Linked DNA regions of Coturnix japonica. The protein of the gene in region 1 purifies or fractionates together with the protein of each later gene. This does not show direct contact. Links are inferred from orthologs where the notes say so. Each region holds a gene or a part of one and is shown in the gene's direction. Other genes may lie near its edges.

Region 1 (10,926 bases):
CCTGCTGCACAACAGAACAGAAACTTTCAACACGTATTAACCATACCTGAATGAGCTCGGACTGCTCAGCCAAAGCCTTCCTCTGTGCTTCCAGAGATGCCACCTGCTGCTGGTAGAGCAAACGCTGCTTCTCCCAGTCAAGTGATTTTTGACGGAACTCCTGCAAGGACAGCAGGGTTGGCTCAGAGCAACACATCCACACAGCTGACAAGATTTGCCCCCTCCCAGCTCATACCCATGTTTTCTCTCCCTCCCCACCACATCCTCACGCTCCTTCCCCCACAGCAGGGAAACCATTAACCAGCCATCTGATGCACCAACTCAGCAGCACAAAACCCCTCTCACACTGTGCTCGCTGCGTTCCCCTCTCCCTCCCAGCTGAAAATATCAGTGTCAATTATTGCTGTTTACAAACGTTAAGTGCTAAAAGGCTCACAGCTCATCACGTGGATTTGCTGTCAGAGGTTTAGCAACACGGACTGACTTTAGCTTGCAAAACAGGCCCTCCCTGGAATCGTTGGCAACCGCTAACTGCAGAGCTCTAATGCTATCCTCAGCTCCAGCAATTGGATGCTACATCTTATCCATGCCTCTGTTAGCCTTGTCTAGAGGGTACACTGGGGAAAAGCAGAGCATGGTAAAACCCAGCACAGCAGAGATTGAGACATGGCTGAGAAGAAGTTTCATTTGTAGCTCCTCCTCCCTCCAAGAAGTGAGATGACAACCTCACCACACGGGCTTTCATTTCACTCACACAATTAATTACTCTTCCAGCACTTTCTTCCTTTTACTCAACTGCAGAATAAGATCTTCAAAATAGTTTACCCTGCGTACTTAGAGGCCTCGGTGCAGGAAACAGTCTTTATTACACAAGCAATCGAGAAGAGCTTCATTAAGAGAGTAGATGGAGAGTACATCTGAACCAGGATTCACAGTGCCCTTCCTAGTTGTCTGAATAGAGTCACCAGTGAAGCCCGAAAGGCAGTTCATCCATAAGAACCAATTAGCAGCTGCTTCCCCATGGCCCACCTCCAGCTTCCTGCTCAGTCGGCTCATTTCAACCTGGTCATCCCCTTGCCTCTTGTTGGCTTCTTCTCTTGCCTCTCTCAGCTGTTTCTTCTGCAGCTTCTCGTAGCTTCTCTTCAGCCTGGCCAACTGCAAGAATTCAGCAAGAGGGGCAACTTTGTTCAAGGCCAGCGGGCAGGAATTAAATAGCACATTGAAGGAAGGCAAACAAAATAGCTTCACGCAAACAATTCCCCCAATCAAGGCCACACAGCTTGCAAATGAAGATTTCTATTTGTATAATGAGCCTATTATACTGATAGGATCACAAAATACGCTGAGTGGTATAAGAGGAGCAGGATGCCACGCTTAAGTCGTGACATCAGCAGCTCCAATTAGACCTCTGTCTTATCACAATGAGAGCATGACTGAAATATCGATCAGATGGAGGTCTATATGTAGCTGTTAACATGGCACCTCCTCTCTCTACAGGCAGCCCCAGGACTCTGTAACAGCAGAAGAACCTGAGGTCCATCTCCTGGTGCCAACCACAGGGACAGTTCTACATTCTTAGAGGTTAAAGTGAAGCTCAGGTGAGGAGTGGAACTCTCCCGCTCGGCAGGAGGAGGAAGATTAGAGAACTGCCATTATACATAACATCAACACTACTTCATCTGTCATCCTCTGCTCAGATACACGACGTACTTCACAATAACTGGAAAATGCCAACAGAAAATAACACTCCTACGCCTACTGCTTGAATGCTGAACTCTTATCAGAAGCAAAAGTGAGGAGAAAACTGCTGACATTTAAGTGACCCTCTGTGCAAATCACCACTCGCAACTTGCACAGATTTCTCCATCTGATGAGCTCCCCAACTCAAGCATTTAAACAAGTTTCCAAATGGTCCCTATGAACCTCAGAAGACATCATTCCCGATTTGGGAACCCATGGAGAACTTATATCTGAATCAAGACCCCATGATTCGGATCCACACAGTGGTCAGGAAAGGTTCTCCAGGGTCCTGAGTCAGGAAGGTGCTTAAGCACATTCATTGAGAATGTGTTTTGCCAAATGAGTCAGCAGATTCCAAGCACTGGTTTATCCTTTCAGCAACCTCCATGAGGTGGACACTGTACCTGTAATTTTACTGGTGATGGTGGTAAACTGAGATAAAATCTATCTACCCAAACAGTACTAAAACAGACTAAGGAACACTGCAGCTTAATGCCATCTACATGGGTAAAACACCAGTGCAGTGCAGTTTTAACCACAAGACACACACTATATTCTAGCCATTGCAATATAGCCTGATCTGGCCAAAGCACCTTAGCCTTGCTCTGCAGCCTATCCACTATTTCAGCTGGAACATCTCCTGCTAATCACACTGAGCAGTAAGGTGTTGTAAATGAGGACAGATGCCTTCTGTCACCAAAGCTGAGGCTACCAAATTAATTTAAGTTATGGCTCACAGTGAGCATCAACCAAGCTGAACTCTCCGGGGAGAAAAGGTCAGTGCTCTGCTGGCTGCTCATGCCACTTAACTCAATGCTTCTGACAAGCAAGTGGAGACAGGCAGAACAAAGGCACCAACATGGAATGCTGCTGTTCCACCTGCAGGACACTGTGTGTGTACCACCCTGCATTGAACAAGGAGCTTGTCGAGATGGAAGCTCTGAAATCACTTCTTGCAAACTGATATGGTTTGAGAGAACACAGGTCCCGTCAAATAAAATCAGACTCAGTGGAAGCAAAATGATGATGAGGCTGCGTACTGATCTGATCTCAGTTTCTCCATACAATCAAGGCCGGTTCCACCACCACCCATTTTAATTTAAGGAAGTGCTGAAGGAGCAAACTGCTGCTGCCTGTACCCATAGCAACTTCCATATGAGGGCTGTGGTGACTATGATTGGCAAATACAGGAAGATTTTGCACTAAAACTCTGCAGATGTTTAACTCATGGAAATTGCAGCTTAGAACATGTTCTTATTCCTGCAGATTTCTTTGTCACCACGTTCCCCTGATGTGCCCAAAAGAGGGCCAGCAAAGCACAAAAACATCACTCTGAGCTCAGTGCTCTCTTCTGTAAGAGAAGAGAATGGGAAGCTTTAAAACCATGGCACTTAAGCAATGGCAATGATGCCAAACATTTCACCTACCTGGTCACATATCAACAGGGAATTAAAAACCGACCTTCTCCTTTTGAAACTCACCTCCTCTTGAAACTTCTTCAGCTGCTGCTCATATTCCCTAACCAAGTCCTGTTTGGCTGCTTCAGTGTCTTCCAGCTGCTGCCGCAACTTGCCAACCTGAACCAAGAATTACAAAGCAGATGAACTGAGACAGAGCACACTGTCAGCAAACAGAGGGATTAGTCTTCATTTCATAAGTATACACAGTAGTGGAAGTGGCAAAGGAATGTTAAGAGATCCCAGTTTTCTAAGCTGGGGTCAGTCCTTTTGAAACAAATTAAGCTTATGTCCACATCTCTGGTTGGATGGGATGAGAACAGTCTCAGATTTGGCCTCGTGTTTTCAAGCTGTGTCTGCCTTCCGCTGGCTGAGATGAAGCTGACACTTTTGCCTTGTGACAATGTCATTTTCATGTTCATTATAAGTATCCATTATGATTTCAAACTATCTATTAAGGGAAGAGATGGCAGTGCCATCCTCTTACCCCAGTGGGATGAAGCAGAGATGTCAAATAACACATGGACAAAGAAAGAAGCAGTGCTTTGAAACTCTTGGGAAAGGTTTCCCTTCTCTTGATCCAGATCTTCCCATTCCTCTTCCTTTCTCCCCTGACTCTTTTCCCTTTTCCCATCCACAATCACCTTCCTAACTGCAGGTCCAGAACACAGTGGGCCAATAAACAGGATTGGCGACCCTGCTCATAGCAGAGGGGTTGGAACTGGATGAGCATCGTGGGCCTTTGCAACCCAGGCCATTCTGTGATTCTACGAAACAGCAGAAAAAACTCAACTGAAATCTGATGAAACAAACAGAAACGCAGATCCACATTCAGCCTTTACGTACCTCTTTATGCTTTTCCTCCAGTGCAGCCCTGGCAGAGGAAAGTTCCTGCTCTCGAACACCCAAACAAGCTTCCAGAGCCTGGGTCTGTCCTTCCCATTCTGCCTTCTTGTGAGCCACCATGATGTCGATCTGCTTCATCAGCTCCTGCAGCTCAGCTTCGCAGGATGTCAGGAACCCACTGCTGGAAGGGACAGAGCTTCAGGTCACAAAGAGGAGCACAGAGGTCCCACATCCCCACAGTAGTGACACCAGTGACACCAGTGATTGGTGCGGAACATCGCTGGGCAGAGACCTAAACTTGGCAGTGACTAATGGGGCATGCTTTGGAAACCCCAGTCAGAGCACATGCAGTGTGTTTTGTTTTCTAATGTCACAGCAAGCCCCTATGACCACTGGTCCCTTTATCTTGGTACTACGCATTACCTAAATAAACCACAACTTATTCTGCCCATACTTTGCATTTCCCCTTAATGCTCTTTTATACCCCCTTTCAGTCACCAGAGAAACCTCTCAGCTCCCGAAAACAAAAGCATATCACAAATGCAGACAAACCCCTACGTTGGTTGGATGACAACATGATAATGAAGAATAAAACATCCCCAACCCATTGGGGAAAGCACGCTCCCTGGCGATGCCGCAGCTTCTAATTTGTGCAGTAATTATTGAAGCCAATTCAACCAAGCCCTGTAAAACTTCACAAGTGCTAAGCTAAGGACGGTATGAAGGCTTGCAAGATACAGCCCTGGAGGGCTGTGAACTCCATGATCATCTTCACCCATTTAATTTGACTGTCAAATGGAAGGCTCTGAAAAGGAACGGAAATCAATAGGTGAAGGGATTGAAATTTCCCTGCTCCCCCAGAGCATACATACCCAGCCTTCACAAGCTGACAGATCTTCTATAGGGAAAGAAGTAGCTCTCAGAGCAGCCAAAAGCAGTTAAATTGGATGTTCACCCCGGCCTGCGAGTTACCCAAAAATTAGCAGCTATTATGCACAGCAAGAACACCTCCTGCTCAGCATCTGCTGATACACAGCTATGTCTAGACTGCATTTATACAACCAGTTAACTGCAAAAGATACAGCACTGAGTCACCTCCTCAAAGACGGCAATGGAAATGGTGTCAGTGCCTTTAGTTTTGTGTTTGTTTGATAAATGAAGCCTTGTTATTCCATCTCCAAGCCCACAAGCCTTCACCTAAGGGTTCCTCAGGGTGTCTGCAGCTCCAGCACAAGCAGGAAGTAATCAGGTGCTCTCAGCATGTCTCATTAACCTCACCGGGCTCTTAAGAAAAGGATTTACTCACTCTTCTACTTAGCACCGCACTGCAAGGCAGGAGGGGGCTTTTTAAAGGGGAAAACAAAGGGATAACGTTCTTAGAGAGGCAAAATACAGACTGCAAGGCGCTGAGGGACCGCTGCAAAGTGCCGAAGCAGCCACGTCGCTGTGCGCTGCATCCATCCGCCTGCAGAAGGTACCGAGGGTCTCATTGACACCATGGGAGCTTGGCAGAAGAGTGGCAAGGAGCGTTAAGAGGGAAGCCCCGCGGTGAGGCTGTTGTAAAGGCCGGGCACACAGCGGTGCATACATACATACGTACATACATACCTCCCCTGGCCATTCCTCTGCATGCCTGCCAGCAGAGCCTCCATCACCCAGCGCCGGCGGGGTCAGCAGGGGGGAAACCACGCAAAGCAGCGGCCACCGCATCCACGGGCAGCGGGAGGGGAAAGGTGGGGGAAATAGAGGGGCAGCAGGAAGGGCAGAGACACGAAGTGACGGGGCAGAGAAATGGTTGGTTGTACGGAACAAGAAGGTACCGCACAGTGAGCGGACCGCACCGACCGCACCGAGCCCACCCGCAGGGCGCTGCCGGCCGGGGAGGGGAAGGAACGGAGGCGGCGGCGGGTGATGACGGTACAGCGGGCGCCGGAACATCGCTGCGGGATGGGGCGGAGCGCTGCCGGCAGAACCGAGCGCGTTGGGGCCGCTCGAGTCCCCGCGGGACGGGGCTGGTACGGAGCTACCTCGGAGGGTGAGGATGGACAGCGAGGTGCAGCGGGACGGCCGCATCCTGGACCTGATCGATGACGCGTGGAGGGAGGACAAGCTGCCGTACGAGGACGTGGCCATCCCGCTGGTAGGTGGAGCACAGAGCCACATCCAGCCCGGCCTTGAATGCCTGCAGGGATGAGGCATCCACTGCCTCCTTGGGCAACATGTTCAGTGCGTCACCACCCTCTGGGTGAGGATCCTCCCCTTCCCTGTTCGCACAGGTGTAAGCCGGCCAAAATCACGGCATCTGATAATGCCTGCAAAGAGACATTGCCAAATTGCAGTGACATCATTCAGCCCTTACAGCACAGTGTGGCATCACTCTTGGAAGAAGAGCAGCTCCTTCTCAGCAGAGGAGGCAGGAAGCAGCTGCCCTCCTCCAAAACCAATAATAACCAATGCAGCAACACGGGGAGCAAATAACACGAGGAAGTCAAATGAAATCGCATTTAAACTCTCCTTCCTCCCCCCTGCATGCTGAGCAGCTTGGTGTTGTATCTCCTGTTGTTACAGCACAGCCACAGCAGAGCTCCACATGCAGCAAGAGGAAGGATTTCTCACCTTGCCATAAGAAAGCGATATGTTACAAAGCCAGCTGTCTTAATAGAGCTACGGTAAATGCAGTATCTGTATTCTGGGCAGCAACAAAGAACCACAATCTAAACAAGCAATGGAATAATTGCACCGTGTTATTATTTACTTATTTTGCATTTTCTCTATATTCTCCTTCACTGCGTGTGCAGTCTGAGTACATAGCAAGGCCCCGGGGCCCTGGAAAGCCAATTTACCTTTCAGATGAAGCATCATAATCATATGAAAAGCACATTGTTCCTCCCTGGGCTCAGTAATATTTTAACTGAATCTGGATGTATGATATGTATTGTTCAGATGCCCCCTCCAGTCTCATTTGTGGATTTTTTTGTATTTATTCATAGGAAGTCTTCGTCACCAGCTCCTTTTTAGGCAGCTTGTTATGCACTGAATGCATTGTACCTTTTTTCTTCTTGTCGTTCTCAGAATGAGCTCCCTGAACCAGAGCAAGACAATGGAGGCACAACTGAGTCTGTGAAAGAGCAAGAAATGAAGTGGACGGATTTATCTCTGCAGTATCTCCATGAAAACGTCCCTCCCACAGGAAACTGATGAATCCGGGGGCATTTCACGACAAATTCTCTGTTAACTTATTCTTTACTTGGTGCCAATTCTGTTCTTAAGTGTTTTCTACACATGATAAAAAATGTGTTTTTTCACCATCTGGAGTTGTTCTTATATGTCAAAACTGGGGATGGGATGTTTGTGACCGTGGAGGTTTATGTCCCAAGAGGTATAACTGTGTTTTGTGTTAGAGTTCGCTGCCAGTGCTGACCACTGTATATTTACACGTTGTTTAAATGGTGCGATTTGTGCTCAAATGATGGTTACTCAAAATCCCTATTGGCTGAGCACGTTGGATGTTCTGTGAGGACATGGGCGCTGAGTAGGAGGATGCTTGGTTTGAGTGGCTGGGGCAGCCCCTGCCTGAGGAGTCAGCAGTGCCTGCTCTGAGCCAGCAGTGAGCTCATCTGAACAAGAAGGAGCTGCATGCAGCCAGCAGGCTGCTCAGGATTAACCCAAGCTTCATATGTACAGTATAGACCTTAGAAACAGCTACGCTGCTGGGAACTGTAATAGTTCAGCTCCTCGCTGTATCTCAGCAGGGGGCAAAACAGAGCTTGGGCTTAATGAGGTATTTCTGATCCTCCCCATGTTCCCTCTCCCTGCAAAGAAAACACTAGAAGCTGCGTGGTGGCTTTGTGTACCCAGCAGCCGTCTCTGTTCTCTCTTCCCTTCCCCTCTCTCACTCCATCACAGGCTCCATCCCCATCACACCAATTTTGCCACAGGATTTTCCAGCTCCAATTTCAGGCTTCCTTTCCCAGCCCTGATGGTTGTCTGTGCATCTGCCCACTTCTTACTGTCTAGCAAGGGGGGAAAAAAAGCCTTTCTCGCTTGAATTGGAGCTGAATTCACAAGGTTCCAGCAGGGCTATAAGAAAACATGGTGGGGATATGTCAGATGTGTGAGTGCTGTCCAAAACAGCAGCTCCTTGGCAGCACGTATTGAGTTGAACTGGGAACGTTGTCAGGACAAAGTGGTGCCCATCCAAATCATGAAGGACCTCACAGGTTAAAAGGGATGCTGGGCTTCCACCTGCTGGAGACAGACAGAGCGTGGGAGAACCAGAGGAACACGGATGGGAGTGTCCCAATGCTACCAATGTGGGTCCTGGGAAGCTGAGTGCTGGCCCTGCCCAGATACCGATCGGCTTTGCACACCTACGTCCTTCACTCCCTTTTGACACTCTTAGCAGAAGACGAACAGGCAGGCAGTAATTTCAACACAGGTAGTCAAAGTGCTGCTTACAGCGTGATACTGAACCGTTCCTGCCTTTGATTAGTCACAGCCCTGGGCAAACAATCTTTAAAACAAGGGATCCTGCTACAAGAGAAGGTGCCCCACCTTTTGAGAAAGAAGAGCTGGTTGTATAACTTCAGCCCCATCTTTATTTCTTGGCTGGGAACTTCCTCCTTTCACCACACCTACATTACTGGAAGAAAAAGACAGCAAACTGTTGTCAGAGGCAGCGAATACGTGCCAAAGAAACCGCGGGATCCGTAAGATTTTCTACCTCTACAAGTTCCATGTGGGAGCCCATATGCTGAGGCTGTGTGTCACGTTCCTCTGCCTTTTGTATGGGGTGAAAACAGGTAGGAAGTCAATTGCTTTGATTTTTTTGTTCAATATAATGCTTACTCTGCTTTGCAGAAGCATAAACCTATCTGCCCTCTGCGTTATAAGGTTACTGTGTAGGGTTTTTAACTAGCATTGTCTCTCTTAAAGCAAACTGTCTTGGTTTCATGAACTAAAGAAGACATGAAGCCAGAAGTCATTTGTATGATCTCTTCTTCACTTTGCAAACATTCCTCTTATATAAGCAGCATCCATCGACACTGAAAAACGTCATCTGAAATCTTGAGAGCAGACTGATTTCTTTTCAGCGGCGCGTTACATGACAGCCACAAAGGATGAATTAGCATTTATGAACGCTAAACTTCACTTGGTATCCTCGTGGCCCCATCAAGAATCAACCTGTTTAATAAGCAACAAATGTGCTGCCTTCTGTTAGCGCACTCATGGGAGCGCGTCGCTTGCTTTGTGAAGCTGCAGCTCTATTCTTTGCAGGGGGAAACAAACAGGGTTTAGAACAATGCAAAGGATTCTCACAAAGGCTGAGATCTCATCAGGTTCCCTGGGGCAGCCTTGGAGGTCTCCTTTTGCTTATTGTGATGAATACACTGTAGGAAACATAGTAATAAGTGGGAGGTACTGAAGGCCATTTTAAGAGGTGGAGGGCAGACCCTTCGTGTGGAAAACATGGAAGTAACTCAGCAATGCTGGTAAGATTTGCTGTGTGGCAGTGCTCAATGATGACCACGTTAGTGCTGATGCATAAGGTTCTCTTGAAACAAATGGCACATCCCAGACAAGGTCATGGTGCTTTGGAAGTCAGGGATGCTGCAGACTGCCATGGGAGCCCATTGGTTGGAGGTCTGCAGAAGCTGCTGGGCAGTGAGCAGCCCTTTGGTGGGCTCTGTGAGCAATGTGGTCTCTCAAGGCTCACCAGGGCAGCCATAGATCTGACAGATGAGGCGATGATGAGGAGGAAACCTTTTGGACCTTCACTTTGCAAGAGGCCAAAATAGAGATGCCGTTCTTTCTGTGCAGAAAGATGAGGACCTTCCTGTCCATAGGATGAACACCCGAGACAAAAGGAAGGGAGAGTCTCCAAACACCATTTCCAAGGAATTAATGAGAGAGCCCAGGAGGATGCAAGCCTTACGTGGCACTGACTGCAGTGACTGCTGCAGGGTCTGCCCAGCACCATTCTCATGGCTGCAGCACTCCCCCCTGCTCCTGGTCTCCATAAGCCAGCTGTGCTGAAGATGCCCCTCTCAGGTACATCTGAGAGGTTGATCTCATCTCATGCTCAAGGCAGAAGATGTCCAGCTCCAACATAGGAACACCAAAGCAGATTTGCCATCCTGTGCTTATCAGGAGGAGGAATGAATGCAGGATCCCCAGCTGCCCTCATGTGTCAGCTCCTGTGACACACAGCCATGCAGCAGGGAGAAGCTGGCAGGCTTTGCCCCTCTATCAGCACTCATCTGATCTCGTTAATGAAAAGAGAACAAATTGAACAGACTTGGTGCAGATATAACAATGCTTTTTAAACTCAGGGATTAGCAAATCCTGAGCAGCTCTTTAATAGCCCTTCTTTGGCAGAAGGTTTGGGTTGCTCTGGTGCCAACCAAGTGCTCCCCAGGGCAAGTCACAGCACGGCGCAGAGATAAGAGACTAATTAAGCAACCAGAGCAGCCTTGCACCATGTCGAAATAATTCAGGTCCAGCATTTCTGCCTGCATTTCTATAGCCTCCGTGGCAGTACAGATGAATAACAATACTGCGCAACAATGCTATACGGGAACTAAAACACATCGAGTTATTAAACAAAGAGCAATGTGGGGTGTTTTTTTCTCTTACACTGCAGTAGCACATGGAGGAGAGTCACTGATAGCTGCTGTGTACCAGCATAAAACCATAGCTCTCCTCTGCTGGTTACTCTGAGATCTCCAGATGGAAGAGAACTCTTAATACTGTTGCCCTATGGAGAGCAAAGGGACCAAGAGTGAGGCACTAAAGGTCAGCAGGGCCCAGAGTGGTGTGCTCCTGGTAGATGGGAGCTTTAGGAGGCAGAGAACCCTCTGCTCAAAGCCAATGACTTCAACTG
Region 2 (10,025 bases), on another chromosome or scaffold:
CTCTCGCGGTTCCGGTTGTTTTTCAGAGCTTTCCTGAATCGTTTTGGGTGGTTTTATGAGGTAGTAGAGCCACAATCCCATTCTGAAATCCTTACATTTCAGCACAGCTCCTCACAGTGCTGCTATCCATGTAGTAAAGCAGCAGTAACAGCTCAAAGTTGAAGCTGGATGAACATCTTGTAGTCTGTCCTTGTTTCTCAGGCTATTAGGCAATCTCAGCCTGTCTGTATCTTTCCTAGGGAGCTGTTTTCACCATCTCAGAAGTACCAACTCCTCGTGTACCACGCAGACTCTCTTTTCCACGACAAAGAATATAGAAATGCCGTGAGCAAGTATACGATGGCTTTGCAGCAGAAGAAAGCATTGAGTAAAACCTCCAAAGTGAGGCCTTCTACTGGGAACGCTGCATCAACTCCTCAGAGCCAGGTATTTAAACACTAACTGATGTGCTGCATGTAACTATTGTGCATCCCCCTCTGCTTCAGAGCATGTTGGAGTTTCAATATTGTGTTAGACCACAGACTGCTTGTATGTTTGAAGTGTAATTCATGGTTTTGGAAGAGATGAGCAATGTAAGCTATCAGTAAGCTACATTTTTACCTTTCTTGCACTGGGTATTTTTAATCTATGCTAAGCATTAAACGAGACCATATTAATGTAACAACTATGATGTTGTTGCAATGCTATAATGCTATAACGTAATGGAAAGCACAGCAATAGCAGGGTGGCATAATTCTAGGCCGCAGCAAATGAAAACAAGCCCTGATACAGTAGCTGTGAATACAGAAACAAAGGAAGAAAATCTGCTTACCTTTAGAAGGTCTCTAGTATGCAGGCTGCTAGTGTAATACTTCCACCTTCACTGCCAACCCTTAAATAAGGGCTAGGAAGAGCTGGGTCCTTGCTCCACCCCTTCCAGTTACTCAGATACATTGTCTGCACCTGAGCTTCCCTGGGTTGGTCCTTCCCACCAGCTGCTCCATCACTGTTTCAGTCTGTGACATAACATTTCCACTACAGTTGGCCTTCAATAGTTGTATTTCATTTCAGTGTTTACCGTCTGAAATTGAAGTAAAATATAAAATGGCTGAATGTTACACCATGCTGAAGCAAGATAAAGATGCTATTGCCATTCTGGATGGGATTCCTTCCAGACAGAGGACCCCAAAGGTTTGTTCTGGCAGATGTTTGTCATCGGTGCTTGCTCAGAAGGTAGAAAAAAAGGTTGAGGAAAGCAAACTTAATCTATATACACTAGAATGTAGCAGGACTCAGCTAGTTGGACTGCACAGAGCTTAAATTGTTTCTGTTCTTTTATCACTGATTACAATTTAAAAGCTAAAAAGAAACATTTCATGCCTTCCTTCTCTTGAGAGCTTCCATTGATAGAAGAAATGAACTGAAAGAAGATTAGTGCAGTGGATGTACAGGTTCTTCTTGTCATACTTAAAACACTTGTCCATTTTTGGATGTCACAATGCTGGGGTTTCCAGTTGTACTATGTAAATAAAAAGATGTACATTTTACATTTGGACTCAAGAGTCAATATTAATTTTATAATACATACATAGTAGGTTATAGTGATCTCTACTCAGAACGGAAGGGAGGGACGGCATGCTGGAGGGAGGGCAAAGTTGTGACCTTTTCTTAGTGAGGACTCCTTTCTAATACTTGCAGATCAATATGATGCTGGCAAATCTATACAAGAAAGCAGGTCAAGAACGCTCCTCTGTTACAAGCTACAAGGAAGTACTGAGGCAGTGCCCGTTAGCACTTGATGCCATACTAGGTAGGTTTCTCCACGCTGTTAAGTACATCAATCCTAAGAAGCATTATAATTTGAAGCATGGTTGGGACTAGGTAATTGACTGCCATCTCTAGGTAATATCTGATGCAGATGTATTTAATGCAAACTATAAATTCGTGACAAATTGTTTGTGCTTCCTTGTCTTCAGATAATTTGTAGCAACGGTGATTGAAATTGTTCTGTATGATTTTGAATACCTCTGTGAACAGGTTTGCTGTCGCTGTCAGTGAAGGGTGCAGAAGTGGCCTCTATGACAATAAATATCATTCAGAGCATTCCAAACTTGGACTGGCTTTCAGTGTGGATCAAGGCATATGCGTTTGTGCATACTGGAGATAACACTAGAGCCATCAATACAATTTGGTAAGATTTGGAAGAGTGTGATGTAATCAAATGCCATAAAATATTTCTTCAATGACATTTTATAATATCATTACACATTAACAACAGCAATTTGTTTCTCTTAAAGCTCTTTAGAGAAAAAGTCACTGCTGAGGGATAATGTAGATCTACTGGGGAGCTTAGCAGACCTGTATTTCAGAGCTGGAGATAATAAAAACTCTATTCTAAAATTTGAACAAGCTCAAATGCTGGATCCTTACCTAATAAAAGGTGAGTAAATCATAGTGGAAAATTTACCTAGTATAATGTTCTGCTAAATTAAGTTAGAGTAGCAAGCAAATATTGTCTCTCAAACTTTTCACTGTAGGAATGGATGTGTATGGCTATTTGTTGGCACGGGAAGGTCGACTGGAGGATGTAGAAAACTTAGGCTGCCGTCTCTTCAATATTTCAGATCAACACGCAGAACCCTGGGTAGTGTCTGGGTAAGATGCTCTCTTTCCTTTCTTACCCTTGATTTGCTGAGTGTAGTCCATTACAGCTGATAGAGTGAGATCAGCTTTTTTGTCCTGTTTTGGAAGTAACTTGAACTAGTCAGGAGTACCTATTTTGGTTGGTTTCTTTAAGACTAAACTGGTTTGAATGACTAAACCTTTGCAATAGCAATGATGTGTTAAATAGCTGTGATGGTTAATGGTGTTCTCTTGTTTGTTTGTTTTCCAGAGGTGTTTGGGGAGGTGTTTGTTTGTTTGTTTTTACACAAACTTTTATTTTTAACTTAAAATGTAGAAGGTTCAGCAGTTACTTGTAACCTGTTCCTTCCCTCTTTTAAGTCTCTGTGAGTGTACACAGGCAGTACATGTTTACAATCCATCTTGTCTTTCCATAGGTGTCATAGTTTTTATAGTAAACGATACTCCCGTGCCTTATATTTAGGAGCCAAAGCTATCCAGCTTAATAGCAACAGTGTTCAAGCTCTGTTGCTGAAGGGAGCTGCCCTCAGGAATATGGGCCGAGTACAGGAAGCAATCATACACTTCCGTGAAGCGATACGTCTTGCACCTTGCAGGTTGGATTGCTATGAGGGTGAGTGAAACAAAGCTCCTCAGACTGCATTGGTGCAGTGTTAACGGCTCTTATTGAGAAAGAATAGACAAGCTCTTTTCCCCTGTTGACTTTCTAACATGTAAAGTTATTTTTACCCAAAAAACTATAGTGCTGGTAGAAGTAGTCAGACAGGAGATACTAGAGAATGCATGTGTTTATAAGAAGCATTTTCAAATTGTTTGTTTTTAAGTGGTTTAATCTGAGTGTAAACAGACCCGGGTGTTTTGAGCAGATCAGTTTTGGATGATGACATTCAGTGTATGGTTAGTCATACCAGGAGCCTCATTTTGACATACTGTCTCCTAAGCATGAGCAGAGTTTGATGGTAAATAGTTAAGGAGAAATACTTGGGGGGAGTATGCATTTTTTTGTGGAGTTAAAAGTTCTCTTAGCAGAATAAAACCCTCAATATTAAATAAAAATGGACAATAGTGCTTCCAACATACTGTATATTGGCAGTCTTAGGAATTGCTTGTAGAATATTTCAACTGCTGGCAACAGGTATCATCTGGATATACCAAATGAAACTGAAACGCTTTTCTTTCTTATTATCAGGTCTCATTGAATGTTACCTGGCATCTAACAGTATCCGGGAAGCTATGGTTATGGCAAATAACGTGTATAAAACTCTGGGAGCAAATGCACAGACGCTCACTCTGTTAGCAACAGTCTGCCTTGAAGACCCAGTCACACAGGAGAAAGCAAAAACATTACTGGACAAAGCACTGACACAAAGACCTGATTACATTAAAGCTGTGGTAAAGAAAGCAGAACTTCTTAGTAAGTTTCTTTTTTCATGTCAGCTTTCTTAAAACTTACTCTTTCATATACAGGAGCGTTCTGTGGCCTCATCAGTGCAAATAACATGACAGGGATGTTGCACCACAGGGATCTGTCAGTTCTGTTTGGAAGGAAAAAGCATGGGAATTAATTATACCTAGCAACTGACGTTATGGCAGCACTTAAAGCCACTGTATACAAAATGTTTTGCATTCAAAGTATATGATGTGTTAATGTGTGTAGCAGTTATTGCTTACAAAAAGCGTATTGCTGCCATCCTTCATGCCAACAGCTCCAAGAGAAGAAATGCTTTTGTGTTGTGGTAGCCCTTGGAGTACAGTCTGCTTACACAGTTATCTAAACTATTAATTAAAACTGTAGTTTTGCAAATAAACAGGTAGAGAGCAGAAGTATGAAGATGGAATTGCTTTGCTGAGGAATGCACTGGCTAATCAGAGTGACTGTGTTCTGCATCGAATACTGGGAGACTTCCTTGTAGCTGTCAATGAGTACCAGGAAGCAATGGACCAGTACAGTATTGCCCTAAGGTAAGCATGAGGGCTGAGACTGTATCGTACACATAGAATTGAATAACCAACCAAGTAAAAAATTGAGTGCCAGGGCACTGGTTGATTAGGGCATGCATCAAGGGTAGCTTCACATCATTCTTCCTCAAAGCAGACAAACGTATACATCGCATTCTGATAATGAATTAGTTGGTCACAGGGCTTTGTGCCAAGGAGTGCAAAATATAGGGATTGTATTAACTGCAGACACATTGCTGGACATGGAGTTCCTTGGCTACTGAAGTGATTGAGGCATGGATGTATTTATAACTAATAATTATACAGGCAGGATTCTTGGGAGCTGTTCCATTAGAGCAGGAGATGATATATAAACAGGAGCTACTGTGTAAATTTAAATAGGTAATAAAGAACCATGATGTTACCTTCTGAAGTTAAATGTTTCTATATTTGTGACATTACCATAAAGATAAGAAAAATAAGTCTTAAGGCAATACTTACTTTTCTTCTCTTTCCCCTCAGCTTGGATCCAAATGATCAGAAGTCACTAGAAGGAATGCAGAAAATGGAAAAAGAGGAAAGTCCAACAGATGCAACCCAGGAAGAAGATGTGGATGATATGGAGGGAAGTGGAGAAGAGGGGGACTTGGAAGGCAGTGACAGTGAGGCAGCCCAGTGGGCAGATCAAGAGCAGTGGTTTGGCATGCAGTGATGGCTGCTCTCCCCAGTGCTTGATTTGGCACATGAGAACATCAGTAGGGCCATTCCTTTCTGAACTCTGATCTTTGCAGGAACTGAAGACTCTTTTTTATCTTTTTTTTTTTTTTTTTTTTTAATTTAATAGAACTATTAAATGGTTTCAGTCTATGCATCTCAGTGCCATGAAGATTCTTGATGCTTCTTATTTATTAAGCATAAGAGATTAACTGCAGTTAATCAAACCAAAAGCATTAGAATCTAAGGTTTCTGTAAGCCTGCTGTTTATGATGAAAGCTGTCGTGTTGAGGGCTAAGTGTGCTTTATCAATTTGTAAATAGTATTTTGGTATATGCCTTTGTAAAAAAGGTCTTCTTCCCTTGTTTGTAAGCAGCGATTTGGGCTCACACTCCTGATGAAGTCTGGAGGAGTCACTTGGCTGTGGCTGAAAGCAGCACTTCTTACTCGCTGTGTTGGTTTAATTACTGTCTTTTTACAAGGCATTGCATGTGGTGTAAAGAAGTTTGGCACCCCAGGCAGCTTTGAGCTAGAGGACACTTTTGTAGCTGATTGATTTCTATGTGTACAGAGTCAAACCAGCCCTTATTAAACCTTATAATCTGTCTGTACATAAACATTTTTAAATGCAGTTGAGTTTTACTTCAGTGTGTTACTAAAGGCTTTTACAGCAGTGACTCAAAGCACTTCATGTTCTGCATACAGGAGGTATAAGAATTCATCCTATTCCACTTGCTTCTCTGCAAAAACGTACAAATATATATCAGCTTGTTTTTGTCATATATATACTTTTTGTCAGATAGTATTTGAATTCACGTTATCATTTCAACACCATCTCTTTGAGGGTGATCTTTGTTTCAGTTCTGTGGGCTCAGTGTGTAGGAGGAGGAATTACTTTGTGCTGTTACATTTCTTACCATTCTGTTTTCCTTACTATTTCCTTAAACATCTCTTTACATTGCCAGTTTAATCTCTTTCACATTTATCCTGTACCCGCAGTTATGCTGGAGCAGATGGACCTTAATGCAGGGCTAAAAAGCAGTTCAGCATAGCAGCTAACAGAGGAATACCTACTTGTACAAATACCTGACACAGAGAACAGGCGTCCCCTAGCTGTAGAAGTACAGCACCAATAAGGGTAAAAGCTCTTCTGTGATGTGCTATATGAATTACAAGAACACACAGCAGATCAATCCTCTTACAGACCGTTATTGAAGTACCTCGCTATGTCACATTCTTAGAAAGGAAACTAGTATTTTAGCACTTAAAAACAAGCAGAAGAGCTGAGTATCTCTTCTCTCTGGAATCCTGAGGGCTTTAAACTTTCCAAAGTATTAAATGGAGTTCTGCTTGGTTGAAGATTCTGTGGGAGGAACAGAAAAGCCCATGCTGCTGTCTTGGTGGTTGAACTGGCATAAGTTGTGACTGCTCTGTAATTAAATAAACACACTGAACAGCTTCATTTCAGTTACAGTGCACATTCTGCTAATTGCATTCTGGTTTATGAGGGAGCAGAACCTATTTTAAAATGAAGAACTTAACTATTTACAGCCTTGCTCTGTGATGCAGTGAACAGCTTTCAGCTCATTGCCTATTTCTTTGTAATAGAAAGAAATACAGATTTACAGACAAATTGAAACCAGCTCTTTTTTCCCCCCTCAGGATACAATCTGATGAAAGCTCGAGCCTATGTCCAACAGATAGGTAGGGTCAGCAGCTTCCTAGGTGATGCTTCAACCATTCCTACTGGATTGAAGAATGGACTTCTTAATATTAAGAACTAATATGTGACGAGAGAAATGAATGAGGTACGTGGTACATAGTTTATGAGCTGTTCAGCCATTTTGTTTTACTATTCCTTTAAATCCATCACAAGCTGCAGGTGAAAACCACTGGTCTCGAGCATTTCTCTGAAACAATGTTTGCGTAGAACAGGAAACCTGAGAACCACAGCTTTACTGAATCACCACATAGAGTCTGTTGATTGTCTGATAAAGTGAAGCTGAGAGTGCTGTTCAAAAACAAAACCACAAAATGTCGCTGTGCTTATGTGTAACCAAGTTCAGGTACACCTAAGAACACCTTAAGAGAGCTGTCAAAATGCAGTTGTATCCCTTAGTGTTGTGTTCTTGCTGCTTAGTTTTTCTCAGAACTTTGCTAAATGTTTCAGTCAACACATAGACCAGTACTGTCATGTGATGGAAAGCAAAGGGATAATAGAAGGGTGGCCCAACCCCAGGCTGCAGCAAGTGAAAACAAGCCCAAAGGCAGCAACTGTGGACACAGACAAAAACTTCTTACCTCAAAGGGACCTCCAGTAGGCAGAGATGTCCAGAAAGGTACCCTCACCTCCACTGCCAACCCTTAAATGAGGGCTGGGAAGGGCTGGATCCTGGCTCCACCTCTTCCACTCACTCAGGTACATTGCATGCAGCTGAGCACCCCTGGGTTGGCCCTGGTTCTCCCAGGTGTTCCATCACTGCTTCAAGCTGTGACTTAGCATTTCTGCTACAAGTACCTACAGAAATATTTGCATTATGGTTATGTAGCTTGTTACAGTATTTACAATTAAAGACAGTGCAAGGGACTGAGGAACTTCAATGTGATATGTGCTGAATGCATTTGATATTATATACATAGATGTACTTTGCACCAGCTTCAGAAATCCAAAGGGATTCTTGTATGCCAATGAGCCTTCATTAATGCTTTAATTTTAGAATATCATCTCTGGATTTGCATAGATTTTGTGCTCTTCAATTCATTTACTGGTTTTCTAGTTTAGGGACCAGAACAATTAGTCCCTAATAAGCAGTTGACCTCATTCTGCCCATCAGTTGTAGTGCACTAAAGCTAAAAGCAGATGTTCACATCTGTTCCATCTGTGATGTAAACTCCCAGAAGTGAAGCACTTCTTAGGTGACACCAAAAAGCAATTGACATCCAGTTGTATTCTGCAGCTCATGCTGTTCTGGGTTGTGTAAGGAGAAAGGAACTGTGTGCTTGAAATCCTGACAGCCGTGTTTGACTTTGAAATCACAGATGTCATTAGCAGGCCTTGAATTCTGTCCTGCTTCATGAACAGAAAGATACAGAAGTGAGGTCAGTGGACAGTTTGTACAAACATAAGGCCCTTATATAGACTTGGATGGGCTAAAAGTCTTAATTTACTAGAATCTAAAAGCATTGATGTGGCTACCAAACATCTACCCTTTTCAGGAGCTCAGTGATGCAGAAATTGATCCGTCCAAGACAAAGGCGAGGAATATTTTTTACTCAGCAAACCCTGCCTTAAAATCTGTATGTCAGGAACCGCACTGCTACTGTTAGATCCCCAGACCTTCTGCACGCAGCAATATTTTGACAGGATGACAAAGAGAAAGAAGGAAAAGGAAACTGATCTCCAAACTGGTTCAGTCGTTTGCCTCTGCCGGGTGATGGTTCAGAGCAGAGAAGCAGTTTTAAACGGAGGCTTTTGCAATGTAAACATCTGTCAGTGACCCGCCGCAGTGAAAACTTCCCCTGCACATTCCACGCAGAGCATTAAACAACCATTAGCATTAAGGTTAGCAAAGCATGCGTGCGGCTCTAGACAGTAAGTGAAAACAGACTATTCTTTCTATTTTGCATCAATGGTGGTGAACGTGGACTGGCCAAACAGCTTCACTTGATACACAGACACAGGAAATCATTACATTGAAATTTCCTGCATCAACAGTTTACGGTTCATTGAGGTGTTTCACCACAGCCTTAAGCCTCAGCTCCAACTCATCAGTTCCACATCACAGTCCTCAGCCCCCTCCTCCTTGACATGGCCTTTTGCAGGGCCAGCAAACATATCAAGGCTTTAAAAATAGAGAGTAGCATTAGAAACAAACAAGACACGAAGGGAAAAAGTTTTGCAGAGTTAGAAAGTTAAAGTCGGATGGGAAAGGAGTATGAATGTTGCTGGAGGAAGCTGAGGAATCAGTTCCTGTGTGAGACATACGTAGCTGCAACGTTGTCACATAACTTGGGATTGCAATAGCAGACTTAACCCTACAGGTTTCCTTACAGCTCGGATCCCAGGGTCACATCTCACAGGAGGGGCAAAGGACTTCAGAAGTTCGGACATCAGTTTGCTTTTCTTCTCTCTCTTTGTCATCCTGTCAAAATACTGATGCATGCAGAGGGTTTCTAACAGTAGCAGTGTGGTTCCTGGCATACAGGTTTTACATATTTAACCTCTACCCCTTCACAGACAGCACCATTTCTTAAGGGAGATCAGATGACATCTGCTGATGTGGCAGTCCTGCTCTGTGTCCTGCCTGCACGATGCTGGACCAGTGTGTGGCACAGCAGGAAACTGTCCTTGCATTCTGAAATCTGCCTTTGGACACTTCAGCTGGCCTTTATTTCAGCTGTCAGCTGTGTGTGTCAGAGCACAGCGAGCCTCAGAGTGCTTGTCCAGAGGAAAAGGGAGGGGGAAAAGCCCACATCCTGAGAGCTGGTTTGGATTTCTAACATATTTACAGAGAACAGAAAGTCCAATTACATCCAAGTCTCCTGACAGGCGGGCAGCAGCAGCACGCTTTGCTTCCCTCATGGGGGGTTTGGTGACTTGGAACAACTCCTACTTGGGCTCCCAGGGCTGGGAGAGCTCAGCCGTTGGCAGAGGGTGATGCTTATACTGGCAGTTGATCCGAGAGCTTGGGTTGAGCTGGAGGCATAAAAGGCCCCGCTCCTCTGTTGGCTGGAGGGGTGGCACATTGCCC
Region 3 (10,938 bases), on another chromosome or scaffold:
ATAGCTTGGAAATTACCAAACTGGACTCTTCCATCATTTCAGAAGGGAAAATATCTACTGTTACACCACAGATCCAGGCTTTTACGCTACAGAAGGCAGCAGCAGGTCTGTTTGAATGTTATCAGACTTCAGTAAGGTCAAACTTTGGTAGATGTATGTCTTCAATCATAGTATGGTTGTGTAGGAGAGGACCTCAAAGCTCACCCACTTGCAACCCTCTGCTGTGGGCTGGCTGCCCCCCAGCAGCACAGGCCAGAATCCATCCTGGCCTTGGACACCTCCAGGGATGGGCAGCAGTGTCAGGGCATCACCACCCTCGTAAAGAATTTCCCCCTCACATCTGGCTTAAATCTCCCCTCTTAGATTAAAGCCATCCCCCTTTGTCCTAGCACTGTCTGCTGTGTGAAAAGTCGTTCTCCCTCCTGCTTATAAGCTCCCTCTAGTCTAGACGGAGGGGAAAATTGCTTTAGTTATGTGTATCATTTCAGTCAACCTGCAGCTCTTCTGTAATTATCAAGATAGTTGGAGTACACTGAACTCAATGTAACTTACAGAGAACTAATGAAATAATAGGATGAAAAAAACAGTGAGCAAACGTATCTGACTCTGGTTCTTATGAGTGTTTAAGATGTTTTCAGGCAGGAACCCTGGAAACTGATTCAAAGGAGTTATGAGTAATTCAATTATCTTAAAATTAGATTTGTGTTGTCTATTCTCCCTTGCGGTTTCCTATTTAAGCACAAATCTTTGTCCAGTTTGACAGAAAATCCTAGACAAGCTATTGAATTCCTCTCTTTTGGCTCCATAAAGTTTCCAGGCAGCGAGCAGATGTGTCCATGGATACCAGACATGTGGAAACTGAGACCTAAAAAAAAATAAGTTTGAGTTGTTGGTGTAAGTGCAGAAATCCACTTCTCCTGAGCGTCACCATTTCTCTGTTCCTGAGTGTTCTGTTGCTGGCTTGAGAAGTTGTCAACACCTGACTTCCACTGCTGTTTAGAATGTTGTGTTGTGAATTAAGAGTGGATAAGCCTGCTTAAGGACTCTTGGAAGATATTCATATGCAAAATTAGGAGCAGTGCCACAGTGTGAAGCTTATGAGGATTAGCTGTTTCAAGTAAATGAATTTCAGCAGTTTTTTCCATTTTTACTTATTGTATTTTTCTCCTAGAAGGTTTGATGAGCCTTCTTCGTGACATGGGGAAAGGTTATTTAGCCCTGTGCTCATACAACTGCAAAGAAGCGATAAATATTTTAAGCCATTTGCCATCTCACCACTACAACACTGGCTGGGTGCTGTGCCAGATTGGGAGAGCTTACTTTGAACTTGCAGAATACATGCAGGTAGGAACTGCCTGTGGTTGGTTTTGAGTCTGTGTCAGCAGTCGTTGTTTCCTGAAGTTGAGTTGTGCTTCAGATTTCTTTTAATGCTGAAGTTACTTCCTCTTGCATCCAGTCCTGGGAGTCTCCCTTTGCCTTTCTCCATCTTCACCCTCACTTGGGCTGATGCAGCTGTTTGTACTGCAGTGCTGTAAATAATCACTGAAACAATTCAGGTTCCAAAACCAGGTGTTCTTCTCCCCCCCCTTATTTAGTTAATGGAGATCCATTGATGACCTGGTTCCCTTTGCAGCTGAGGTGATAGCAAACTGCTTCACAACAGAAAAAAGCAGCTAAGATGAATCCAGCCGTTCAGCTCTTATTCTCTCTGTTGCCCTGACAGTTGTTGTGCTTGTTTCCTGCAGGAGTCACAAGCAGGGAGGGCAGCTGGAATTCTGCTTGGTCTAACTGTATTGGAGTGCAGTCATTTCCTTTGGTGGGGAAGATAAAAATACAACAGGACTTGTAGCTCTGCCTCATGTTTGCATAGCAAAGAATTCTCATTCTGGACATATGAGGCTTCTAACTTTGATCTGTGTGCTCTGTTTGAGTGGGTGGAATTGCTGTTGTTTGATTTCTCATTTCCTTTCTTAGGCTGAAAGGATATTTTCAGAAGTGAGGAGGATTGAAAACTACAGAGTAGAAGGCATGGAGATCTATTCAACTACGCTGTGGCATCTGCAGAAAGATGTTGCTCTGTCAGTTCTTTCAAAGGATTTAACAGACATGGATAAAAACTCACCAGAGGTACAAAATGCTGTGGTGCTCAGTGAGATGAGTAACTGTGTGCGGCACAGACAGTGACAGGGAACAGAACTTGGACTGGAGCTGGATTAGGATTTCATTCTCACTTGAGAAATATGAGGTGAAACTGGAGAGGGAGGTGGCAGGATTTGCCTGTTGAGCTGATGATGCCTGAAATGGCTGCTTGGCGTTAGAATATCAGCTTATATGGGACACGTTGTGAACCTTTAATCTATTAATGGTGATTTGAATCTGTATTGACATTGTTAATCCAGGAAGATCATGGGTTGATCAATTGTCCCTGCTGATGCCCACATGTAAAGATAAGGGATGTTTTTTCTCATATTATCTTCTAACTGCTGTAATTCACTGGCACTCATATTTCCTGCACAACTTGTACAACGCTGCTTGAAAATATTTTTATGCTGAAGTCCGTTGAGCTGGTATTATAACATGCACATGACATGCAAGCAAGCTGACATGTGCCCCAATAATAAGTATGTATGTGTGTGGAGGGGATATAAATCTGCTCTTGACAGAGTGGGGGAAGCTGTGGAGTCTGTTGGGATTTTCTGCTGGAGATGAACCTATTCAGGTCATTCTATTTTGTACTAGAGGAAGGAGGACTTAGTGAAGCAACTGGTCAGTACTGTTAAAACTGTTGTTTATAATCTAGTAGCAAGTGACATAATTGCATAGATCAGTGACAGAAGATCTGTTTAGCTCAGACTTGGTCATTCTGCAGGTTGTGAAATGACACTTCTAACTTAGAATGCTGTTTTTTATTAGGCATGGTGTGCTGCAGGGAACTGCTTCAGCTTGCAACGAGAGCATGACATTGCAATCAAGTTCTTCCAGAGAGCCATTCAAGTTGATCCAAACTATGCTTACGCCTACACCCTTTTGGGGCATGAATTTGTGTTAACAGAAGAGCTAGACAAGGCATTAGCTTGTTTTAGGAATGCAATCAGAGTCAACTCCAGGCACTACAATGCATGGTAAGTCTTGCTTCATCCCCCTTCTGCTGTATGTGATATGGAGCACCTTTGGGAGGAATAAGCTGCAAACGCTGCTGTGAATTTTGTGAGACTTTTCTGTCATTGAGTCATTTCTAAATATGTGCCACTTCTACCAGTCCATATTTGCTGATGACAATTAGTTTATTTAAGATGCACTCTTATTAATGGAACTGTTTTTCCTTTTTGCAGGTATGGGTTGGGAATGATTTATTACAAACAGGAGAAATTCAGTTTAGCAGAAATGCATTTCCAGAAAGCACTTGATATCAATCCTCAGAGCTCAGTCTTACTGTGTCACATTGGAGTAGTAAGTAGATTGCGCTCAGCTCTCTCCTTGTTATGTTCTGATTTGCCTCTGCCCTTTACCTGCAACCTTCCTGAACTTGAAGTGCAAAAACAAACAAAACAAAGTTCAGAGGATCTATTAGAGGATCTTATTGCATGAATGAATAACCGTGGGATTGTGTCAGAAAATAAATCCTCTTTTCTCCCTCCCCCCAGTTGCTTTTAGCCAGTGTTGAAATGGCTTACTGACTCAACCTGATAGCATAGGCTTACCTGTGAGAAAGCTTGGTTTCTTTAAGACTCAGTAGGAACAGGTTGTAAGTAAACGTAGCAGCACCAGTCAAATTTACTTTATTCTTTTCCCCTTTTGAGATTTTATTCCTGTTCTGTTACAGGTCCAACACGCACTGAAAAAATCTGAAAAGGCTTTGGATACTCTAAACAAAGCAATTAACATCGACCCCAAGAACCCACTATGCAAATTCCATAGAGCTTCTGTACTGTTTGCAAATGAGAAATACAAGGTAAGATTTGATGCACGTAGACAACCTTAGATTATCTGTTACTTGCTACAGCAGCGGATGGGGATGCAGTGATAAGCATTAAGGCTTGAAGCATGAGTAGGAAGAGCCTGAGGCAGAGCAGCTAATAAAGCATTTGTTTCAAGAAGTGCCACCTTCACTGAGCAGGAGATTAAAAGTCAAAAGCAGAGGATACCTGTGAGCAGGAGAAAAAAAATTAGATGTTATTATAGGAGACCAAAGCCCAGCGTATTTATTCTGTGCTTGTAATAATTGGGCCATAACATTCTATAGCCATTAAAGGAGAAACTAATGTAAAAGAAACTTGAGGTGCTTCTGATGAGGCCGTACTGTTGTTTGTGGTGGAGTGTGCTGTATGTCAGTTGCGAGGTTTGCATCAGCTCTGAGTTGCAGTTCAGCAATGCAATAACTGGCTGCTGGTTGCCAGCTTGTGCTTATTTTTTTTCTTCCTTTTCAGTCTGCTTTGCAAGAACTTGAAGAACTGAAGCAGATTGTTCCCAAAGAGTCTCTTGTTTACTTCTTAATAGGAAAGGTAGGTGAAATTTCACTGTGTTTGTAAGCACTTTGTTTTCCTTCATTGCAGAAACGTCTGCTTAATGAGGAAACTTGAAGCCTGTTGCCAAGCTGTTTACATTTGGGGCAGCATTGTAAAATTCACAGAGCCTTCAATAAGACTTGCTGCATATAATCTCACAGCTCTCCAACGTAACAGCTTTCAGCCTTAAAAGACTGGAGCAACCTCAAGCTATTTTTATAACCACCCAAGAAAAGATAACCCAAGCTCCTGTTGTCTTCTTTTACATCTGTTGTCTCAGAGGAATTCATTTTAGAAAGCAAGAAATGGATCTTTATTGAGATCTTTAACTGCAAAGAGGTTGCAGTAGTTAGAACAGCTTTCAGGGCTAGGCTGACTATCAGTCATCTGTGTTGGTTATTTGGGCCTGGAGATGTGAAAGTGTTGAACCATGCTCAAATGTATAAATGTATTAATATTGCATCAGAAGTGCTGAGTAAGTGTCTGTGGGGTGCTTTTACTCCTCCGTGTCTGTTTCAGCTGATGGCCTTTGCAAGTGGGTTACAGAAGGCGATATCCTTCTGTATCAGTTTGGGAAGTGGGAAATCTTAATGAGGCTGTAGGAGTTCCGAGGCTTAAATTACATCTGAAGAACCACTTCCTTATGTTCTTGAATCTGTTGGCTGCTAATTTCATTTGATCACTTCATTTAAATTTGGGCACTTAGGCAGAAACACTCATGCACTTTTTCTACATGCTTTTGCTGTTTCCCTCTGGACTTGTGTAATAAATGTTTGAATCTACTCTACTGCTTCTCATATGTGTTAGTTAACTGTGACTTATTGTGTTTGTTGTCCAACCTTTCACACAGCACCTTGTAAACGTAGCATTTCATGCTTTTATTTTAGGTTTATAAAAAGCTGGGGCAAACCCATTTGGCCCTAATGAATTTCTCCTGGGCGATGGACTTAGATCCCAAAGGAGCCAACAACCAAATTAAAGAGGCTATCGATAAACGTTACCTTCCAGATGACGAGGAACCAATAACTCAAGAAGAGCAAATCAGTGAATGTTATCCCTATGAATCAGGTTTGTATTTTGCATATGCGTGTTCTGCATCCCTAAATCTTCACCTGGAAAAGCTGTTAGGGTGTATATCATAGTAATTCCTAGTGGTCTTGTCCCACTGTGCTTTCAATATGGGGAGCTGCACTGCACTTCCTGATGTGCCAGGCTTTCCTCTTGCTGTTGAGGTTGGATTACCTGCATATAATCTGCATGTAAGGCTGGTGCACTTTGTGGGCTGAGTCACCAGAAGATGGAGACAGAGTACTGGAACTTCAGTGGCAGTCAAATGATGGAGCAGAGGGTGGGAGGTTGGGGGAAGCCCCGTGACTTAATCTGTCCTATAAATATAACTGAAATAAAAGGTGTACGTTTGGATCATAAGTGATCACAATCACAGTGCATTGATGTGGTGGGTAACAGGAGCGAGCATCTGTTAAGTGAAGGAGACTGCAGGTTTTTGTATTTTGTGATCCCAATTCCTTTCTAAATGCATTTATTTCAACTGTATTAAGCTAGCGGGGGGTCACCTTATTGCAATGAAAAGACCTTATGGCTCCTTAAGCCTTTTGAGGGAGGGGGATGAAGGCAGGAGCTCAGTTTCACATTGATGAGGTACCAACATGTTGCTGCTGTGCTGCAGTTGGCTGTGCAGGAACTGTAGTCAAGTTTTGACCAATTTTGTGTTCTGTTTCTTTTTCCAAGTTGGCACAGACGAATCCCAAGAGAGCAGCATGACGGATGCAGATGACACACAGCTCCATGCAGTTGAAAGCGATGAATTTTAACCTCCAAAAAGCCAACATGTGGGCTTGAGTGTGTGACTGGTACTGTTGTGTTCTCCCTTTCCTTTGCGTCCTGGGTCTTCACATCACTGAGCCAGCATTGTCATGAATTCTCCACTGACACCATGAGTTCACCGCTCAGACTGTGCACAGAATTAATGGCAGTGCAATATTTGGCTGCTGCTGAGGTTGACTTGTTGGCTCTTATAAGGAGGAAATGCTGGGTTTTTGGTTTATTTTGGACTCCCCTTTGCTGGAAAAAATATCATGGAAGAGACGTGCGGGTTGCTGTAACGAAGCCAGTAGATGTGGGGGCAGTACTAATGAAGCGGTGTCTTGTTCCTTTCCCAGAAGTGTGTCTTAGTTTGGTTCTTTCTTGGTGAGCAGAGTGCTGAACTTCATTTCCGAGTTCTTTGAGGACAGTGTTGACAAATGCTGTTAAAGACTTTTGCATATTGTAGTGTAACTTAAATGCCAGGGAATGTAAATGACCTTAAAGCTGCAGCATCTCCAGTGAACAAACAGAGCGTGTGTGCTCAGGGCTGGGGCTGTCAGACCATGTAACAGCACCCTGTGTCCCTCTTAGAGTGCAAACCTGCAGGGATGGGGACGTAGCAAGAGAATCACAGTGCAGAATCACAGCTTTCACGGAGAACTTTCATGTCCTTAACAGAGACTTAATTTATTCACCTAGTTTCTAAGATGTCTTTACTTTGTACGTTAAACAAGTCAGCGGTGCATTGCTCCATTTGTTTTTTCATACACCCCCTTGAGTTGTTCTTCCCGGTGTGAAAATAAACATTAATAAAGGGGCAAAACCAAGAGAGAGAAATGCAGATACGACTTAACGTGGATCCACCGAGCCCTTTCCCTGCAGTGACTGCCTGCTGCTGAACCAATCCATGGGGAAGACCAGAAGCCTTAATGCAAAATCAGAACCTTACAGTCGAATGCATCAGGTAACAATTGCCTCAGATCGGATCCTTTTTAAACCAGTTTTGTAACGTGTGGTCCAAGCGGAGTGCAGAGATGTGCAGTTCTCTGTGGTTTTGGGTTTGTTTTAAGCTGTTCTTTGAGGTCCTCGGAATCGCTTTCTCTCTATAGGATTATAGACCCCTTCCCTCCTCCCTGAGGCTGTTTCTGTGTGAAGAAAGCTGTGCCACACTGAGTCCAAAACGACCTTTCTCTGTAGTGTTTTGCAGCAACAATTGGTGCCCTTTATGCAGTGATGATAAAGAAAGTGTATGATAAAAGCAGTTTTAAAGAGCGATTTATGCATAATAAATTGGGAATGATATAAATTTCATAGCAACATAACTTGTTGGTGTCAGCCTTGATCTTTTTGTTGCTGTCTTGTGAAGGGTTTCTCTCTGTGCATTAAACCATAGCATTGCACTGTGCTCCATCACAGCTCCTTGCTGTTGTGAGTCATAGGGACACATTTATTGCATGAGAAATAACCCAAAGTGCAGCCTTTGTGTTCTTGGACAAGCAGAGGAAAGTGAGCTGAGCATCCCCAGCATTGTGAAGGTCCTGAAAGGTGAAGAATAAACACCCCCCCCTCCACTGATGGAGGCAGTGCCTGCATCTGCCCTGCCACAATGGATGGAGTCTTTTGGTTCCCAACCCATTTTCTAAGCAGAAATAATGAGCTTCATCCCCAGGAGCTCCTCAGCTGCAGCAGGTGAGTCTTTCCCTGTGTATGGGAAGGAACACCGAGTGCTTCCAGCTCCCAGAGCAGCACCTTGCTTGGTTCATCTCCTTTCCATCCTCTGCTGCTGCTCTGACTTCCCCCAGGAATTGCTGCTTGTTTTGACCTGAGGCTTAGGAAGCCAGGGGGCTCCTTCCCTCCTGTGGCCATTGAGAACAGTTACACAACAGTCATGAACTCAGCTGGGGTGCTGGATACTCACTGAAGATTCAATACTTGCATCTGTCCCCATGTTTATGTGTACATCATACCTTTAAAATGGGCTTTTATAGAAGAACCTGAAGTTGGAAGCAGATTTAGCAGCTTTCTGCCCCTATGAGCTGCTGTGTCCTGAGCTGGGGCTGCAGGTTTTCTGTTGTGGGCTGTGTGAGCCCTCCCAGCACCTCAATACTCCTCAATAAGGGCAGCTGTGAGTGCTGGGTGCTGCAGGAAGGGTCTCAGTTCTGTTATCCTTAAAGCTGTTGGCACTCAGTTTGTTACAGCAGCCCCATCTGTCTCCTTTCTGCCTTTGGCTGTTGGGGTTGCATTGAATTTGAGCCCTCCTCCCTTTCATTTCTGTATTTCTCAGCCCTGCCCTTCACTCTTCTGCTCCTGATGCTTCCTCTGTACCTTGTGCTGCTGGGGCTGCACGTTTCCCAGCAGTGAAGTAAAGGGAAAAGCAACGTGTGCTGCAATCCCCCCCCCACCCTGCAGTGCCATGCACTGTGTTAGGGCTGGGCAGCATCGCAGGGCTCCCAGCTCAGGAATCCTCTTGGTGCTTTATGGGCACAGACAGCTTTGTGCTCTTCATGCTGCCTCGGTGGGCACTTAATGCTGCTCTCTGCTTCCTGCCCCTCCATCAGTATTAGGGGTTTGATTTCAAACACCCTCATGGTGCAAATAGGGGAGGGCTCAGAAATGGCCCCTCTTTAACCACAGCTCAGTTCCTGGAGCTGTATGTTCCTTTCTGACCACCTTCAGCTGTTGTATCAGCTCAAAGTCTCCCCTGGTTTATGGAATCCATCAGTCCCTGATGTTGCCTACAGCAGAAATGAAGGTGCCCACAGCCATGGATGGGCTCTGGGCACCCTGAGCTGGGAGTGGGCAACCAATGTGTGGTGCAGGGTTGGAAGCAGGTGAGCTTTAATGTGTCCTGCTCTGCTTGCAGGGCTGGCTGCTCTGGGAATACCCACCAACATCCAGCTTCATTCTCCAGCCCACATTGTGAGGCTGAGCTTGGCTTTAACTCACTGAGCATGGAGGCTGTGAGAGCCCTTGGGAGGAGGAGCAGCGTGATGCTGGCTGCCCATAGGGCTGTGCAGGTTGGAGCTGCCCTTCATCCCGTGCTTATTGTCACAGCCATTGCCGTGCTCTGTCCTCAGCCCCACTCTGAGCTCATCCTCCATTTCTGCTGCATCCTGGGGGTGTCCCATAGTTACATATGGGAAATGTACCTGATGTCACCTATGGGATGTGGATAGGATTTGGGCATGGTGTATTTCCTGCAAGATGGGCACAGTGTCTCCTATAGGATATGATTGTGGTGTCACTTACACCACAGCGTAGTGTGTACACACACTGGCGTAGTGTATCCCTATGGGGGATGGCTGTGGTGTCACCAGGGGGTTGCTGGGCTTTATGTCCCTGTTATATGAGGACTTAGTGTGCTTTGGGCCTGCTGTCACCTATAGGACACAGGCTTTGTGGCCCCAGTGGGGTTACAGCCCCGTGGTCACTGGTGGGATGTGGGCGCAGTGTCCCCTGTGCTGTGTGTGCTGCTGTCAGCTGCGGGCCGTGGGTTTGGTGCCACCCGTGGGCTGTTTGCGGTGCCCCCTGTGCCCTATAAGGGCTGGGTGTCACCCATAGGACCCGGCTGTGCCACCAGCTTCATTCACAGGCCTGGTGCACCCCGCGCTGGGACACGGGCCTGGCTCCGGCTGCGGGACGCGGCGCTGCGTGCGGGACGCGGGGCTGGAGCTCCCGGCCATGCGGGACCCGGCGTCATCCCGGTGCGGGGCCCAGCTGTCACCGCACACCGGGGCCGGCCGCAGCCCTGCGGGACACTCGGCGCACACAGCCCGGTGCCGCTGCTCCCTCCGCACCGCGCCCCGCACAGGGCGGCACCACCGCGACCCCCCGCACCCGCTGCCCCGCGCTGCCCCGCGCCCCCCGCCCGGCTCCGGGCCGCCCCTCGTTGTGTGAAGGCCGGGACCCCCCGGGCCGAGGTTCGCGTTGTCCCGTGTCGCGGGGCGGGTTGCGGTGCGGGGCGGGTGCTGCGTGTTGGGCTCCGGGCGGGGGCGCCCTCGGGGGTCCCGGCCCCGCAGCGGGGGGCGAGTGGCGGCCCCGCATCAATCACCGCCCGGCCCCGCCCCCTCGGCGCTGATTGACGCGGCGCGGACCAATGGGACGGGCGCATGCCCCGCTGTCGGCCAATGGGGACGGGGGAGGGCGGAAGGTCCCCACTTCAAGGCTGGTTGAGCGGCGCAGGTAGGTGCGGGCGAGGCGCTGCCGGTGCGGGACGGCCGGGTCGGGATGGGGGGGGGTCGGGGTCGGAGGTGATGCGGGACACGGGGGGTGCGCGGGGGGTCCGGCCTCGTCCCGCCTCGTCCCGCCTCGTCCCGCAACTTGGGCTGCGTGTTGCGGGCCGCGGCTGGGAGGGAGAACGTGGAACGGGGGGGGGGGGCGGGACAGGAGGGGCCGTAGGGCGCGGGGTGGGCTCAGCGCTGCGGGGGGGGTCGGTGCGGGGCGGGGGGTCCGTCCGACAGGGCCTGAATTGCGGCCACGGGGAGCGAGGGCACATCCCGGGCCTGGGGGGGGCGGACGGATGGACGGCGGGGCGTGAAGGAGGCCCGGGGCTGCGACGGTCCCCCCGCATCGCATCGCATCGCATCGCAACAGCTCGGGCCCCGCTGCG

The links.
Region 2: the proteins of ANAPC13 (region 1) and ANAPC7 purify together in Homo sapiens (affinity purification with mass spectrometry; 3 studies listed by BioGRID and IntAct, counting the BioPlex papers as one, with this or other methods). This does not show direct contact. The link is inferred for Coturnix japonica from reciprocal best matches to the Homo sapiens genes ANAPC13 and ANAPC7.
Region 3: the proteins of ANAPC13 (region 1) and CDC27 purify together in Homo sapiens (affinity purification with mass spectrometry; 5 studies listed by BioGRID and IntAct, counting the BioPlex papers as one, with this or other methods). This does not show direct contact. The link is inferred for Coturnix japonica from reciprocal best matches to the Homo sapiens genes ANAPC13 and CDC27.

Annotation. Positions count from the first base shown.
Region 1 is NC_029524.1:2,639,917-2,650,842, reverse strand, and holds ANAPC13 (anaphase-promoting complex subunit 13), read left to right. Parts: upstream 1-5,973; 5' UTR 5,974-6,084; coding exon 6,085-6,183; intron 6,184-7,115; coding exon 7,116-7,241; 3' UTR 7,242-7,353; downstream 7,354-10,926. Other genes in the region: CEP63 (centrosomal protein of 63 kDa), read right to left, coding at 47-160, 1,030-1,155, 3,222-3,317, 4,044-4,224, 5,652-5,695; LIPH (lipase member H), read left to right, coding at 8,794-8,845. UniProt on the Homo sapiens protein: Component of the anaphase promoting complex/cyclosome (APC/C), a cell cycle-regulated E3 ubiquitin ligase that controls progression through mitosis and the G1 phase of the cell cycle.
Region 2 is NC_029530.1:4,519,255-4,529,279, forward strand, and holds the end of ANAPC7 (anaphase-promoting complex subunit 7), read left to right. Parts: intron 1-239; coding exon 240-426; intron 427-1,050; coding exon 1,051-1,170; intron 1,171-1,677; coding exon 1,678-1,789; intron 1,790-2,016; coding exon 2,017-2,170; intron 2,171-2,276; coding exon 2,277-2,419; intron 2,420-2,516; coding exon 2,517-2,634; intron 2,635-3,038; coding exon 3,039-3,235; intron 3,236-3,811; coding exon 3,812-4,036; intron 4,037-4,433; coding exon 4,434-4,584; intron 4,585-5,082; coding exon 5,083-5,272; 3' UTR 5,273-6,741; downstream 6,742-10,025. UniProt on the Homo sapiens protein: Component of the anaphase promoting complex/cyclosome (APC/C), a cell cycle-regulated E3 ubiquitin ligase that controls progression through mitosis and the G1 phase of the cell cycle.
Region 3 is NC_029542.1:2,301,241-2,312,178, forward strand, and holds the end of CDC27 (cell division cycle protein 27 homolog), read left to right. Parts: coding exon 1-105; intron 106-1,171; coding exon 1,172-1,344; intron 1,345-1,974; coding exon 1,975-2,127; intron 2,128-2,913; coding exon 2,914-3,122; intron 3,123-3,332; coding exon 3,333-3,450; intron 3,451-3,823; coding exon 3,824-3,952; intron 3,953-4,427; coding exon 4,428-4,502; intron 4,503-5,392; coding exon 5,393-5,573; intron 5,574-6,254; coding exon 6,255-6,337; 3' UTR 6,338-7,651; downstream 7,652-10,938. UniProt on the Homo sapiens protein: Component of the anaphase promoting complex/cyclosome (APC/C), a cell cycle-regulated E3 ubiquitin ligase that controls progression through mitosis and the G1 phase of the cell cycle.